Linked DNA regions of Macaca fascicularis. The protein of the gene in region 1 purifies or fractionates together with the protein of each later gene. This does not show direct contact. Links are inferred from orthologs where the notes say so. Each region holds a gene or a part of one and is shown in the gene's direction. Other genes may lie near its edges.

Evidence for each region.
Region 2: the proteins of ENO1 (region 1) and FBXW7 purify together in Homo sapiens (affinity purification with western blotting; 3 studies listed by BioGRID, with this or other methods). This does not show direct contact. The link is inferred for Macaca fascicularis from reciprocal best matches to the Homo sapiens genes ENO1 and FBXW7.
Region 3: the proteins of ENO1 (region 1) and PARK7 fractionate together in Homo sapiens (co-fractionation; 3 studies listed by BioGRID). This does not show direct contact. The link is inferred for Macaca fascicularis from reciprocal best matches to the Homo sapiens genes ENO1 and PARK7.

What each region holds. Positions count from the first base shown.
Region 1 is NC_088375.1:225,981,268-225,985,659, forward strand, and holds the start of ENO1 (alpha-enolase), read left to right. Parts: upstream 1-1,466; 5' UTR 1,467-1,701; intron 1,702-2,058; exon of another isoform or gene 2,059-2,178; intron 2,179-4,392. UniProt on the Homo sapiens protein: Glycolytic enzyme the catalyzes the conversion of 2-phosphoglycerate to phosphoenolpyruvate. In addition to glycolysis, involved in various processes such as growth control, hypoxia tolerance and allergic responses.
Region 2 is NC_088379.1:157,243,187-157,246,832, reverse strand, and holds part of FBXW7 (F-box/WD repeat-containing protein 7), read left to right. Parts: intron 1-943; coding exon 944-1,125; intron 1,126-2,982; coding exon 2,983-3,208; intron 3,209-3,646. UniProt on the Homo sapiens protein: Substrate recognition component of a SCF (SKP1-CUL1-F-box protein) E3 ubiquitin-protein ligase complex which mediates the ubiquitination and subsequent proteasomal degradation of target proteins.
Region 3 is NC_088375.1:226,919,649-226,923,763, reverse strand, and holds the start of PARK7 (Parkinson disease protein 7), read left to right. Parts: upstream 1-1,191; 5' UTR 1,192-1,259; intron 1,260-4,115. UniProt on the Homo sapiens protein: Multifunctional protein with controversial molecular function which plays an important role in cell protection against oxidative stress and cell death acting as oxidative stress sensor and redox-sensitive chaperone and protease.

The sequences.
Region 1 (4,392 bases):
TGTGCTACCTACAGTGCTTCAAAGTGTGGTATTCTGATAGCTTTGGACAGTTATTCCCCACCTGCCCCCCACCAATAAACCTGCTCAACAAGCTTACAGCAAGTGAGAAATAATAACTAAATGCAATGCCCTTGTGCTGACTACAAGCAAATGTGAACCCCACAGCCTGCTAACAAAGCCTAAGGAGCTATGGAAACAGGGAAGGCATTTCGCAGCCTGTGAATTTTGAAAAAGATTTCAGGCCATCTCCAGTAATCATTAACATTGTAGCTACAATGTGAGGTCGAAGTGCCGGCTGAGAATGTGGTGCTGCAGCCTCCAAGAATCTTGCAACAGCAGCAGTCTGGGATCATGTTCTGCCTCTCATTTCCTGCTAGATTTACTGGTTCTGGCCACAGCAGAGTATCTTTATCTCTCTAACCATTTTAATGTAAAATAAGATTGTTTGGAGCCCTTTCAGGGCCACGCCTTAGAACTGCTCTGAAAGTAAGAGTACCAAGTGCCTGATTTCTTAGAGTCCTTAACAGCAGGAGATGTTGGCTGATTTAGCTGCTGAGTCATGGGGCTGGAGATAGTGGTTTTCAGTAGCCAAAAACGTTAGTGTATTGCTGGTGAAATCACAAACTCTGCTTGCAAAATTTTATTATTATTATTATCATTTTGCTGAATTTAATCCTAAAGTTCTTGCTTCTTACCCACTGGAAAGCAAATACTATGTACTTAGTAGGCCTTCACTTTTAACCTACGCCATGGAAACCTGCCAGTAGCTAAGAGGACAAAAACGCTAGGGGTTAAGAAAGAAAAGTAGTTTTTGCAGCGGACCAGAAGAAATAATTAAATTCAAGTACATATTTGAACATCTCTTTGCAAGGAAATGAGGAAAATCAGGAGATGTTTTAGTTCTCTTAGTGACCAGCAATAATGTTGAAAAATATAAAAGTCACCGTAACAGAAAACGAAGTGATCATTTCAGCCCTCCCTTGGAGTCGGGGGGATCTATTGCGGAGCTGAGTTTTAATGGCTATCAGTTCTCGATCAAAAAGGTGAAATCACTCCACCAACTCCTTCCATATTCCATGGAATATGACCCGTCTTGAACTTTGAGAAATTCCCCGGGTCTATGTGAAATTCCAGTTCCAAATAATTTACATGAATGGTTCACAAGAATCCAGGTAGGTTTGATCTAGTTCCCTAGATGGGACTGAGGGGGATGTGAAATTTCAGATGCAACATTAACATGGGCTAGAGAATGAATTAACACTGGGGAAGCAGGTGGTGGCGCGCCAGACACCTAGGAGGCACTCAAGAAAAATGAGGTAGAAATAAAGGAAAGTGAACCTTCCTTTGGCTATTTCGGCCTGATTCTCACCGCAGCAAGGAGAAAGGGACAGGGTCACCTTGGCGGGTGCCAGGCGGAGCCCGGCCGGACGGGCGCGGCTGGGGGGCAGCGCGCAGGCGCAGGCGGCGCACGTGGCCCCGGAGGCGCACCGCTGCGGCCCGGCCCGCGACACAACGCCGGAGTGGGGCCGAGGCGCGTAGCCTCTCAACGACTCGACGCCAACGGGGTCTCCCGGATCGCGGCGCAGGACAAGAGGGGCGGGGCAGGAGGGCCGGGGCAGGCGCGGGCTGCCAAAGTCGTCAGCAAGGTCGAGGGCCGGACGCGCGGCCCCGGAGCGACGCTGAGTGCGTGCGGGACTCGCAGTACGTGACGGAGCCCCGAGCTCTCATGCCCGCCACGCCGCCCCGGGCTCTCACCCGGGGCCCCGGCTCCGCACACCTCAGTTCGGCTTACGGGTCCTATCTGGGGCTAGAGTTTCGCTCGCACCACCACAGGGCCGCTGGGTAGTCGGGGCACCCTAACTCCGCCCGCCTCACGTCCGCGGGTCGTCACCCCCCCTTTCCCGGCTGCAGCCGCCGCAGTCTCACCCCTTTCCGGGAGGTGAGAGCACGAGTGACGGCTTTCCCGACCAATGGCGAGGCGGCCCTGAGGAGGCGTGTCTGGAAGGCGGGAAGTGGGTGGGGCCCGCCTTAGCTGGGCAGGAAGTCCGAGTGCGGCGCGGACAGTAGGTGTGGGGAGCCGGAGCGCATAGACCTCGCAGACCTCACCGGCTTCACACTCACCTCGGTGTCTGCTGCACCCGCCGCTTCTTCTCCTAGGCCACGAGACCCAGCGGCTAGGTAACGATTAGGGAAGGGCTGAGCAACGGGCAGGCGGCGCAGGGCTTTTCTGGGCTTGCGGGGCTCTTTCCCCTCAGAGGGAGGCTGCGCGCCAACAGGCCCGGCGTGGCGGGGTCGGGGGCGCGTGCGAGCCGACTCCCTGGGTGGGAAGTGGCACCCCCGCTCACCCCGAGGCCCGGGACGGGGGCACAATGCGAGGTGCACGTGCTGGGTCCCGATTTCTTTGGAGGGGAAAGTGCAGATCAACACGTGATTACAGACTGCGGGGCAGGATCACCGTCGGGGAAGGTCGGGAGCTGCACACGCGAGCCGCTTAGCACAGCGGGAGTTGGGAGTGGAAGTTGCTTTTCCATCGTAGCCAAGTGTAAGGTTTTTGGGATGGACGCAGACATAGCGGTGGTGCCCACTGAGGCCAGGCCCTCCCTAAAATGGAGGAGGGCGGCGAGAGAGGAGATGCCCACGAGGCTGCAACCCCCTCCCCCACCGGCAGCCCCCGCCTCTCGCCTGCACTCGCGGCCCGCGCTTCGGCCCAGTAAGCGGTGACTCATTTCGAGAAGGCACCTCTTCTTGAGGAATCTGCCGCAGAGCCGTTAGATCATTGGCAAGCCCTCCAGGCGACCTCGCCCAAGTTGGGCAAGAGCGGCTCCCCGGCTGGCCATCAGACGTCGGGCCCTGATCTGAGAAGGATTTCCTTTTTTTTTTTTTGCTCTTGTTTCCCAGGCTGGAGTGCAATGGCCTGATCTCCTCGGCTCACTGCAACCTCCGCCTCCTGGGTTCAAGCGATTCGCCTACCTCAGCCTCCCGAGTAGCTGGGATTACAGGCATACGCCACCACGCCCGGCTAATTTTGTGTGTGTGTGTGTGTGTGTGTGTGTGTGTGTGTGTATATATATTTTTTTTTTTTTTTAATTAGAGGCGGTGTTTCACCATGTTGGTCAGGCTGGTCTTCAACTCCCGACCTCAGGTGATCCGCCCGCTTCGGCCTCCCAAAGTGCTGGGATTACAGGCGTGAGCCACCGCACCCGGCCAAGAAGGATTTTTTTTTTTTTTTTTTTTTTTGAAACGGAGTCTCGCTCTTGCTCTGTCGCCCAGGCTGGAGTGCAGTGGCCGGATCTCAGCTCACTGCAAGCTCCGCCTCCCGGGTTCACGCCATTCTCCTGCCTCAGCCTCCGGAGTAGCTGGGACTACAGGCGCCCGCCACTTCGCCCGGCTAGTTTTTTGTATTTTTTAGTAGAGACGGGGTTTCACCGTGTTAGCCAGGATGGTCTCCATCTCCTGACCTCGTGATCCACCCGTCTTGGCCTCCCCCGGCTAGTTTTTCGTATTTTTTAGTAGAGACGGGGTTTCACCGTGTTAACCAGGATGGTCTCGATCTCCTGACCTCGCGATCCGCCCGTCTCGGCCTCCCAAAGTGCTGGGATTACAGGCTTGAGCCACCGCGCCTGGCCAACTTAAATATGTTTAAACAAATTTGCCTTTTTGGAACCTAATAGATAAAAACTAAGTACCTTTTTCTTGGCTAATGAATAAAACTCCATTGTTACGTAGACAACAAAGCCACAGAAGTGACTTCAGTAAATAATTTTGCAAGTTAAAAATCTGCCCAAACTTAGATGTCTTATTGGCTGCTCCTGGTGGCTCACCCCTATAATCATCCTAGCATGCTTTGGGAGGCCAAGGCAGGGGAGGATCACTTGAACCCAGGAGTTTGACACCAACCTGGGCAACATAGTGAGACCCCCATCTCTTAAAAAAGTAATTAAAATAAAGATGTTGTCATTAATGACATAACAATACTGAAGTCCGGAGTACTGTGAAATTGGAAAGTCCCAGGAAGTGGCGGTAGCCAAGATCTCATGGTCCAAGGACTTTATTATTCCTGACTTCCAAACTCAGAATTTCTGATTATTAAATACCTACTAAGTGAATATTGTGCTGCTACTTCAAATTTAATCAGAAGAATTATGTCCAAACTTAATTCGCTATTTTGTTTTAATTCTGCTACAAGCCAGATTTTCCCCTCATCCCCCCACCCTCTTTTTGGCCTCGCCCTAGGTGGTTTTGCTTGTGACCTTCATGTCTGTTCTTGGTTCCTTTCCATTCCCATGCCAGGCCTCATTGTTCACTCATGACAATAGCCAGTTTCAGACAGCTCTTTGGCTGCTCTGCATCCAGCAACACATTCATCTATTTGGATTTGATTCTCCCTGGGCA
Region 2 (3,646 bases), on another chromosome or scaffold:
TACTTTGTAATGTTTTTCAGAAGTATGGTTGAGGGGTATTTATTTTTCCTTATGAACTGCTTTGTTGATAACCTACCTATTGTTTAGAACTTAATAAATCATGTTAATTTATACTTATCTCAAACCCTTGTGAGATGAGAGTGGACTAGGCATTTAAATGTAAGTTTGAAGAAAAAAGTAGCCCAAGCAATCAGCTTGACCGTGTACTATATCATACCTTAATGATTCTCTAGCAAATATTTATTTGTATCTGTCCAGTAGAGAATATTTTCATGAATTAAGTAATTGCCACCTAAAAAATAACAGAAGAGAGTATGAAAACAAAAAAAAATCCATGTCTTTTAAAATGTCTTTTACCATGGTGCTTCTTGGCAAGTATCTTATAAATACGCCAAGTCAGATGTTAAAATTTTTTAAAGCAGCTTTATATTTCCATAGTGTAATATTAGTTTGGGATTTATTTCAGGGCCTTAATGTCTGTCTTTACTTGTCTAGAAGTAGCTTCACTGGCTCCTAACTACTGCCCTGGGGCAGATTCAGATGAAATGTGGTATGTAGCCACACCCAATACTGTTGGCATACTTTCATTGAATCTATTCCCATGGAAGAAACCCAGTTGCAATTTCAGTATTTTTTCATCAAAGAGACCAGAGCTATCATAATTGCTTTCATATCATGTTTCCTTTTTATTATATCATATTTTATATCATATGTTTGCTTTCTACATGTTCTTCAATTGCTTGTGCTTATATAAATTTATAATGCTTTGAATAAACAAAACTATAAATAGTGATGGGATCATTTTATACGGATGTGTAAAATAATATTTTCTGAAGAGCCAAACGAATAAATAACTTTACTCCAAATTTTAATGAGCTATTAAATTTTATTTAAATCACTTTTCCTTTCTACCCAAAAGTAATCATCTTAAGTGTTTTTCCAGTGTCTGAGAACATTAGTGGGACATACAGGTGGAGTATGGTCATCACAAATGAGAGACAACATCATCATTAGTGGATCTACCGATCGGACTCTCAAAGTGTGGAATGCAGAGACCGGAGAATGTATACACACCTTATATGGGCATACTTCCACAGTGCGTTGTATGCATCTTCATGAAAAAAGGTAAGGGAAAATCTTATCGTGGTTGGGACTTCTTCCTCTATTATTTGTGAATTTGGGCCCTTTCTGTATAGAGTTACTGAAATAGTGACAATGAGCTCTTAAATTACATTTAATTATTAGACTTCAGATGGTTCTATTCTAGGAAAGCCATAGTGTTTTGTCTTAAAATTGGGGATTGTCTGTAAGTTTCCTTTTTCATTTGCTAGTGTTGTCGGCTTCCTCTTTGAAGCTCTCTACTCTCTAATCCTTTTTATTGTTCTGTATCTTTGATGACTCATCATGTTCAAGCAGAAATCATTTTTTCTCTCTCTTTTTTTGATATTCTTACTTCTGCAAGTGGGACAAATTCAGGCTTCAAGCGTCTGAGCCTTTTTAAATTACCTACCCACCTTACACCCACCCTATCTCTTAAGTCTAGGCAAAGGCTGAGGCCTGTGAGTAATTTGTTCTCTCATTCTGAACTAGTGTCACAACTTTCTAACTTGGTCATCTTACATTTTATATGCTGACATACAGTCCTTTTATAATTATGATAGTGTCACTGCCCAGTTCTTAAGTCTTTGTGAGCCTACTGTTGACTAACGAATTAAGGAAGAAATCCTCAATCCAGTTTTCAAAATGGTGTCTGCCAAACTAGATTGCTTGACTTTTTCTTCTCAGTGCCTTTGCTATTACTTTTATCTCCTCCTGTAAAGCCCTCCTATTAAAATCCTATCTTTCTATTATCTTCATCATACCCCTGTTAAACAAGTGTGATTTCTGCCTCATTTGTCAAAAAAGGTCTCTCTGAAAGGTCCTTACAGTGAATCAATGGCAGTCTTTACCTTTAATTCTGTCTATAGCATCTTCTTATATTAAGAACCATTACATTAAGCAGATTTCACACCAGATTTGTAATATGTTTTCATTGTGTTCCATTGTGTTCTGACTTAAATCTCAACCCTTTAATTTTCTAATTTTTCCAATATGGAAACTGTGGTATTTCTTTTATCTCTTCAGAATGAATGACATAAGGATACCTGAGTTTTCAGCTTTGTTTTGTAATCCAAAAGTGATTACAGTATTTGCATATTGCTCTGGTTTTCAGGAGAGTGTAGCACTAATGTTGAACCACATGTTTAAGGGATAGCCATTGTTTTTAAAGATGTACATATCTTTAAAGATCCATATCAATATTTTTATAGCCTATTGCATATTTATAAATCTAATCATTAAAAGCATAAGCAGCCTGTGTTTGAGGACATGTCTAAAACTGGTTAATTTTTACTGGAATGTATAGTGTAAACACAAATCTGCAGCTGTTTAAATTCCAAATCCTGACTTGTTTTGTTGTATAACCTTTATTGAATTTTTTACCTAATCACAAGGGAATATATGCATCCATAATTGAAATTTTGGAAAATGGCAAAGAACATAAAGAAGAAATTTAAATTCTTTAAACTACTACCACCTAGAGTTCTCCCATTAACATTTTATACACATGCCCACATTAACATTTTATTTCTAAAATCAAAATCTTATTGTATATATTTAGAGGCAGCTACTGCTGCTTTTAAAAAAAAATACAGTGCAGTGGTTTTCAAACTCAGTCCCACAGAACCTCGAGGTGCTGGAACTAAGGTCCACAGGTCAGGGAACCAAGCATGAAGCATTCTAGGCTTCCCAACTTCCCATTCCCTTATTGTATGTTTATATACCAAGGTTTTACATAGGATTTCTTTTGACAAGAGTTGTTCCTGTGTAAGAAAAAGAAAGCTAAAAAACCTTGACTAAATCTATCATGTTTTCTCATATTATTAAAAATTCTAAACATGGGTTTTTTTGTTTTGTTTTGTTTTTCTGTTTTTCCCTCTGCAGAGTTGTTAGCGGTTCCCGAGATGCCACTCTTAGGGTTTGGGATATTGAGACAGGCCAGTGTTTACATGTTTTGATGGGTCATGTTGCAGCAGTCCGCTGTGTTCAATATGATGGCAGGAGGGTTGTTAGTGGAGCATATGATTTTATGGTAAAGGTGTGGGATCCAGAGACTGAAACCTGTCTACACACGTTGCAGGGGCATACTAATAGAGTCTATTCATTACAGGTAAGATCTCTTATCTGTCCCTTAAATGCTCTCCTGATGAATCATAAGGTTGTTTTACTCAGATAATCGCTGTCAAATTGCTGCTCCAGTACAATCCAAAAAAGATTAACCAGATTATTCTGCTGTTTTTATATAAATTTCAAAATTATTTAGATGCTTTCAATTTTCTGTGATCTATTTCTCCTCTAAATACAAATATTTGTCTTGTAACCTGACAATTTGGGACTCTAAGGTTTGCTATATTAATTAATGGTTAAATAGTCTCATAGGAGAGTAACCTGGATTTTAAGAAACTCCTTTGCAGAGGATTAATATGGCCCAAAGCTGACCCTTTGCTTTGATAGCTGAAAGTTGATGGACCATGTAATTGTGATTCCATCCCCATTCAAAGTGGAAATAGATCCTTTCTGCATAAAGCACTCTACTGTCCCAGGCCCA
Region 3 (4,115 bases), about 940 kb from region 1:
CTACAGACATACGAAAGGTCACCAGAATATAGTTCTCATCCTGGGTGTAGCCACTGCTTACCAACCTCCAGAGTAGGTGGGCCTCAAGATAAGGAAGGGATCTCTAGGATACAGTAAAGGATAGGGAGTTGGCCAGAAAAGTTTTGCTACATTCAAGTGTCTACCGCTGGGTGGAATATGGATTTTGCCTTGCCCGTTGAGAGAAATACTGGCATAACTCCTTGATCACTGTATGTTTCCAAAGTATTGGAATTTGAAAGCATTATGGAAACGGAATTAGAGAATTATAACCGGAAATATTACAGGACTCAACATTTCAACTCTTTTGAGCTTGGTGTTTTATGTAAGATCTCACTAGGTCCTCACTCACCTCTGGGCAGGCATTGCTATTCACATTTGCAAGTAAGTTATCTTAAAAGGCTTTTTGATAACCCCTGACTGAAACCCTAAGTAATGGGATCTTACTCTCACTTCAAGAAATAAGATGCTCGCTGGGGGCGGTGGCTCATGCCTGTGATCCCAAAACTTTGGGAGGCCAAGGCGGGAGGATCGCTTGAGTCCAGGGGTTCAATATCAGCCTCGGCAACATAGCAAGACCCCGTCTCTACTTCTCAGAAAGAAAATAAAAGAAATAAGATGCCATGGAAGGGATGGCAATAAGTGTTTTCCATAAACAACCGGAGAGAAACAAACAGAAAACGCTGTCCAAGCCACAGCCTTGCTTCCACACTGGGCTTTGCAGATTTTCCAATGAGCCACCAACGAGGTGGTTAAACCATCAGAGACTGCATCTGATTCCCCAATACACCAAGGCTCGCGGGATGGGAACAGGCAAATCGTCGTCGTTCTTTGCTGAGCCTGTGGGCTGCGGTCACCAGGACGAATCTGGCCCCAGCAGGTGCCAAAGGGCTCGACCTCCCGCCTTGCATCCGGCAGGCTGTACCCACCCCTCGGAAGTCGGCGAGGTAGCTGAGGCAAAGCGACTCCAGGGCGCAGAGACCCACACGCGACGCTCTAAAGGAAGTGACCTTTAGGGGCTGTTACTCTCAGGCCAAGCCCAGCAGCACCCGGCGCATTTACGACGGATCTGACCTGCAAGCTCCGACGCGACCGCGATAGCGGCTGGGAACACGCGACGGTCCCGCCCACTGCCACCGGCTCGGCCAATCCCGGGTGCCGCGTGCTGCGGCCGCCGGAAGTAGACCTACGACATGCGGGTCAGCCGGTCGGTTTCCCGCGTCCTGTGGGAGTTGTGTCTGGTAGGCCACGGTGGGGGTGCTTTTCACACTGGTGGGCGCAGAGGCAAAGCCGTTCCCGGGGCCCCTCACAGACTTCGGTGTCAGAATTTCCCCCTTGCGCCAGCGCCGCCTCAAATGTCAGGGCTCGCCCACTCTTCTCCAGTCTCACCGACCTAACCTTTCGGGGGCTCCAGAGGGGAAATTCGCCGTTTCTGCCGGACCTCTGTAGGGCGTGCCTGAACCCGGCCTTTATGGGATGATGTCAGCTACGTTTATTCAGTGCCCCAGAGGGCTTCTTTATGCCCAGTAACTACAGTTCAGATTCCTCCTCTGCTTCATTTTGTAGTTCGGTGAGATGAATTTGACGTGAGAAATAAGATTAAAATAGGAATAAGAAATTAGTTGAAATCACGTTGTAAACTGTAGAGTTCTGCAAATGTAAAATATTAATTTATAGCAATAAAGAAGGCTGTCAAATAATAGAGGGTAAAAGCAGGATAATACTTGGTCAGCATCTGCTGTGTGCCAGGGGCTGTGACAGATGCTGGGGATGCAGCAACCACCAAGACAAGAAGGTTCTCCCGGCGTTCACAGGACTGGGGAAGACGCAATAAATAACTAAAGGCAAAATGCTAGAATGATGCGCTCTCTCTAGATGAAATATAGAAAATGATTTATTTTTTATTTTTATTTTATGTTATTTTAAGATGGAGTTTTGCTCTTGTTGCCCACGCTGGGGTGCAATGGCGCCATCTCGGCTCACTGCTACGTCCACTTTCCGGGTTCAAGCAATTCTCCTGCCTCAGCCTCGCAAGTAGCCAGTACGATAGGCGTGCACCGCCACGTCTGGCTAATTTTTTTGTATTTTTAGTAGAGACAGGGTTTCGCCACGTTGGTGAGGCTGGTCTGGAACTCCTGACCTCAGGTGATCCACCCGCCTCAGCCTCCCAAAGTGCTGGGATGACAGGTGTGAGCCACCGCCCCGGCCAAGAATGATTTAGAGTGTTTACTTAATGAGATGCCAAATTTAAGAGCGACCCATGGAAAAACAATAACTTGGGAGCAGTTTTGTTTTTTTTTGTTTTTTTTTGTTTTTTTTTTTTGTTTTTTTTTTTTTGTTTTTTTTTTTGCCGCTAAGATCAGGATAATTCTGAGGGGAGTTGTTTTTTTGGAACGATGACCAGATGGCTGTGGGTGGCTATTACTAACACTGTCAACGCCATTTCTCTGTTATTGCCTTGTGACCTTCACAGGCAGAGCAATATTTCATCATTAAAAGTTGCAACTGCTACGAGAAGCTACGTTCCTTGAAAAAACGGCGTTTTTGGCCAGGCATAGTTGCTTACACCTGTAGTTCCAGCTACTTGGGAGACTGAGGCAGGAGGATCCCTTAAGCCCAGGAGGTGGAGGCCAACCTGGGCAACATAGCCAGGCCCGGTCTCTAAAAAAGAAATAAAACCGGCAGTTTCTTCCTTTGTACCTCCCGCGATGCATAAAGAGTTGTCAAATGTTGATTTAAAAAGGTAGTGGAGCCGGGCGCGGTGGCTCACGCCTGTAATCCCAGCACTTTGGGAGGCCGAGGTGGGCGGATCACAAGGTCAGGAGATCGAGACCACGGTGAAACCCCGTCTCTACTAAAAATACAAAAAATTAGCCGGGCGCGGTGGAGGGCGCCTGTAGTCCCAGCTACTCAGGAGGCTGAGGCAGGAGAATGACGTAAACCCAGGAGGCGGAGCTTGCAGTGAGCCGAGATCGCGCCACTGCACTCCAGCCTGGGCGACAGAGTCAGACTCCGTCTCAAAAAAAAAAAAAAAAAAAAAAGGTAGTGGATAGGATGGGGGCGGTTCTGCCTGGAAATTGGAGACTGAACTCAGAAGTGTCTTCGTTGTCAGTAGTACAGCAGTATTTTTTGGTAAAATTTTTTTTGGTTTTATGTGTGATGGGAAATATGCATGAACTGTAGAGTGTCTTGAGTGTAACTGACTTTTAATCGGTAGACAGTATATGGTGGGTAGAGTGTGAAATTTAGCATCAGTAATCTGAATTTGACCAAGACTGCAGGACCTTACACAGTCATTTCACCCTTCTGGACCTCAACCTTCACATCTGTGGAAGGAAAATTATAAGACCTGCCAGGAAGTCAATATATAAGGTCTAAAGATGATAAATGAGAAATAAAATATTAGCATACTGTTTCAAAAGACTGATATACTACCAGAAGAAATAATTGAAACAGTTGAAAATACTTGCTTCTGGGGAGCAGGGCTAAGGGGAAGGACTGAGTTAGAGGGCTGCTGCTGCATGGGTTAACTACTGCTCCATAGCAAAACCTGGCTGCTACAGTTTGCCACTGGGTTGTAGTAACTCTGCTTCAGGTTGTTAGCTGTGCAGGTTGGCTGGGGCCACTCTGTTCCACATGTTCATTCTGAAACCCAGGTTGAGGGAACAGCAGCAACTTGCCTGGGGGAAAAGCTCTTCCTACAGCAATTCAACAGTATAAGAGCACAACCTAATCATCAGGGCAGACTTTTCAAGGCTTTGTTCAGGTGTCTGTTCACATTCCATGGACCAAAACAAGGCCAAACCCAAAATCAAGGGACAGGACGTAGACTCCACCCATGCAGGGGGAAGGGGAGTGACTAATTCTGAAAAATAATCCAATCTGCCACAAGTAATACTTGACTTTTTCAAACCGTGCAGTGTATTCACTTGGTAAGAATTAATGCTGACTGTGGTCCATTTCAGGTCTTGATGGTGATGTGTATGTCTCAGGAATGTTAACTCCAGTTCATTCTCTCTGGCTCTCACTGCTGAAACATCTGTCATCTTTACACTATAGTGGCTGTTTCATCCTGTAGCAGACCAGGAGTAGGAGCA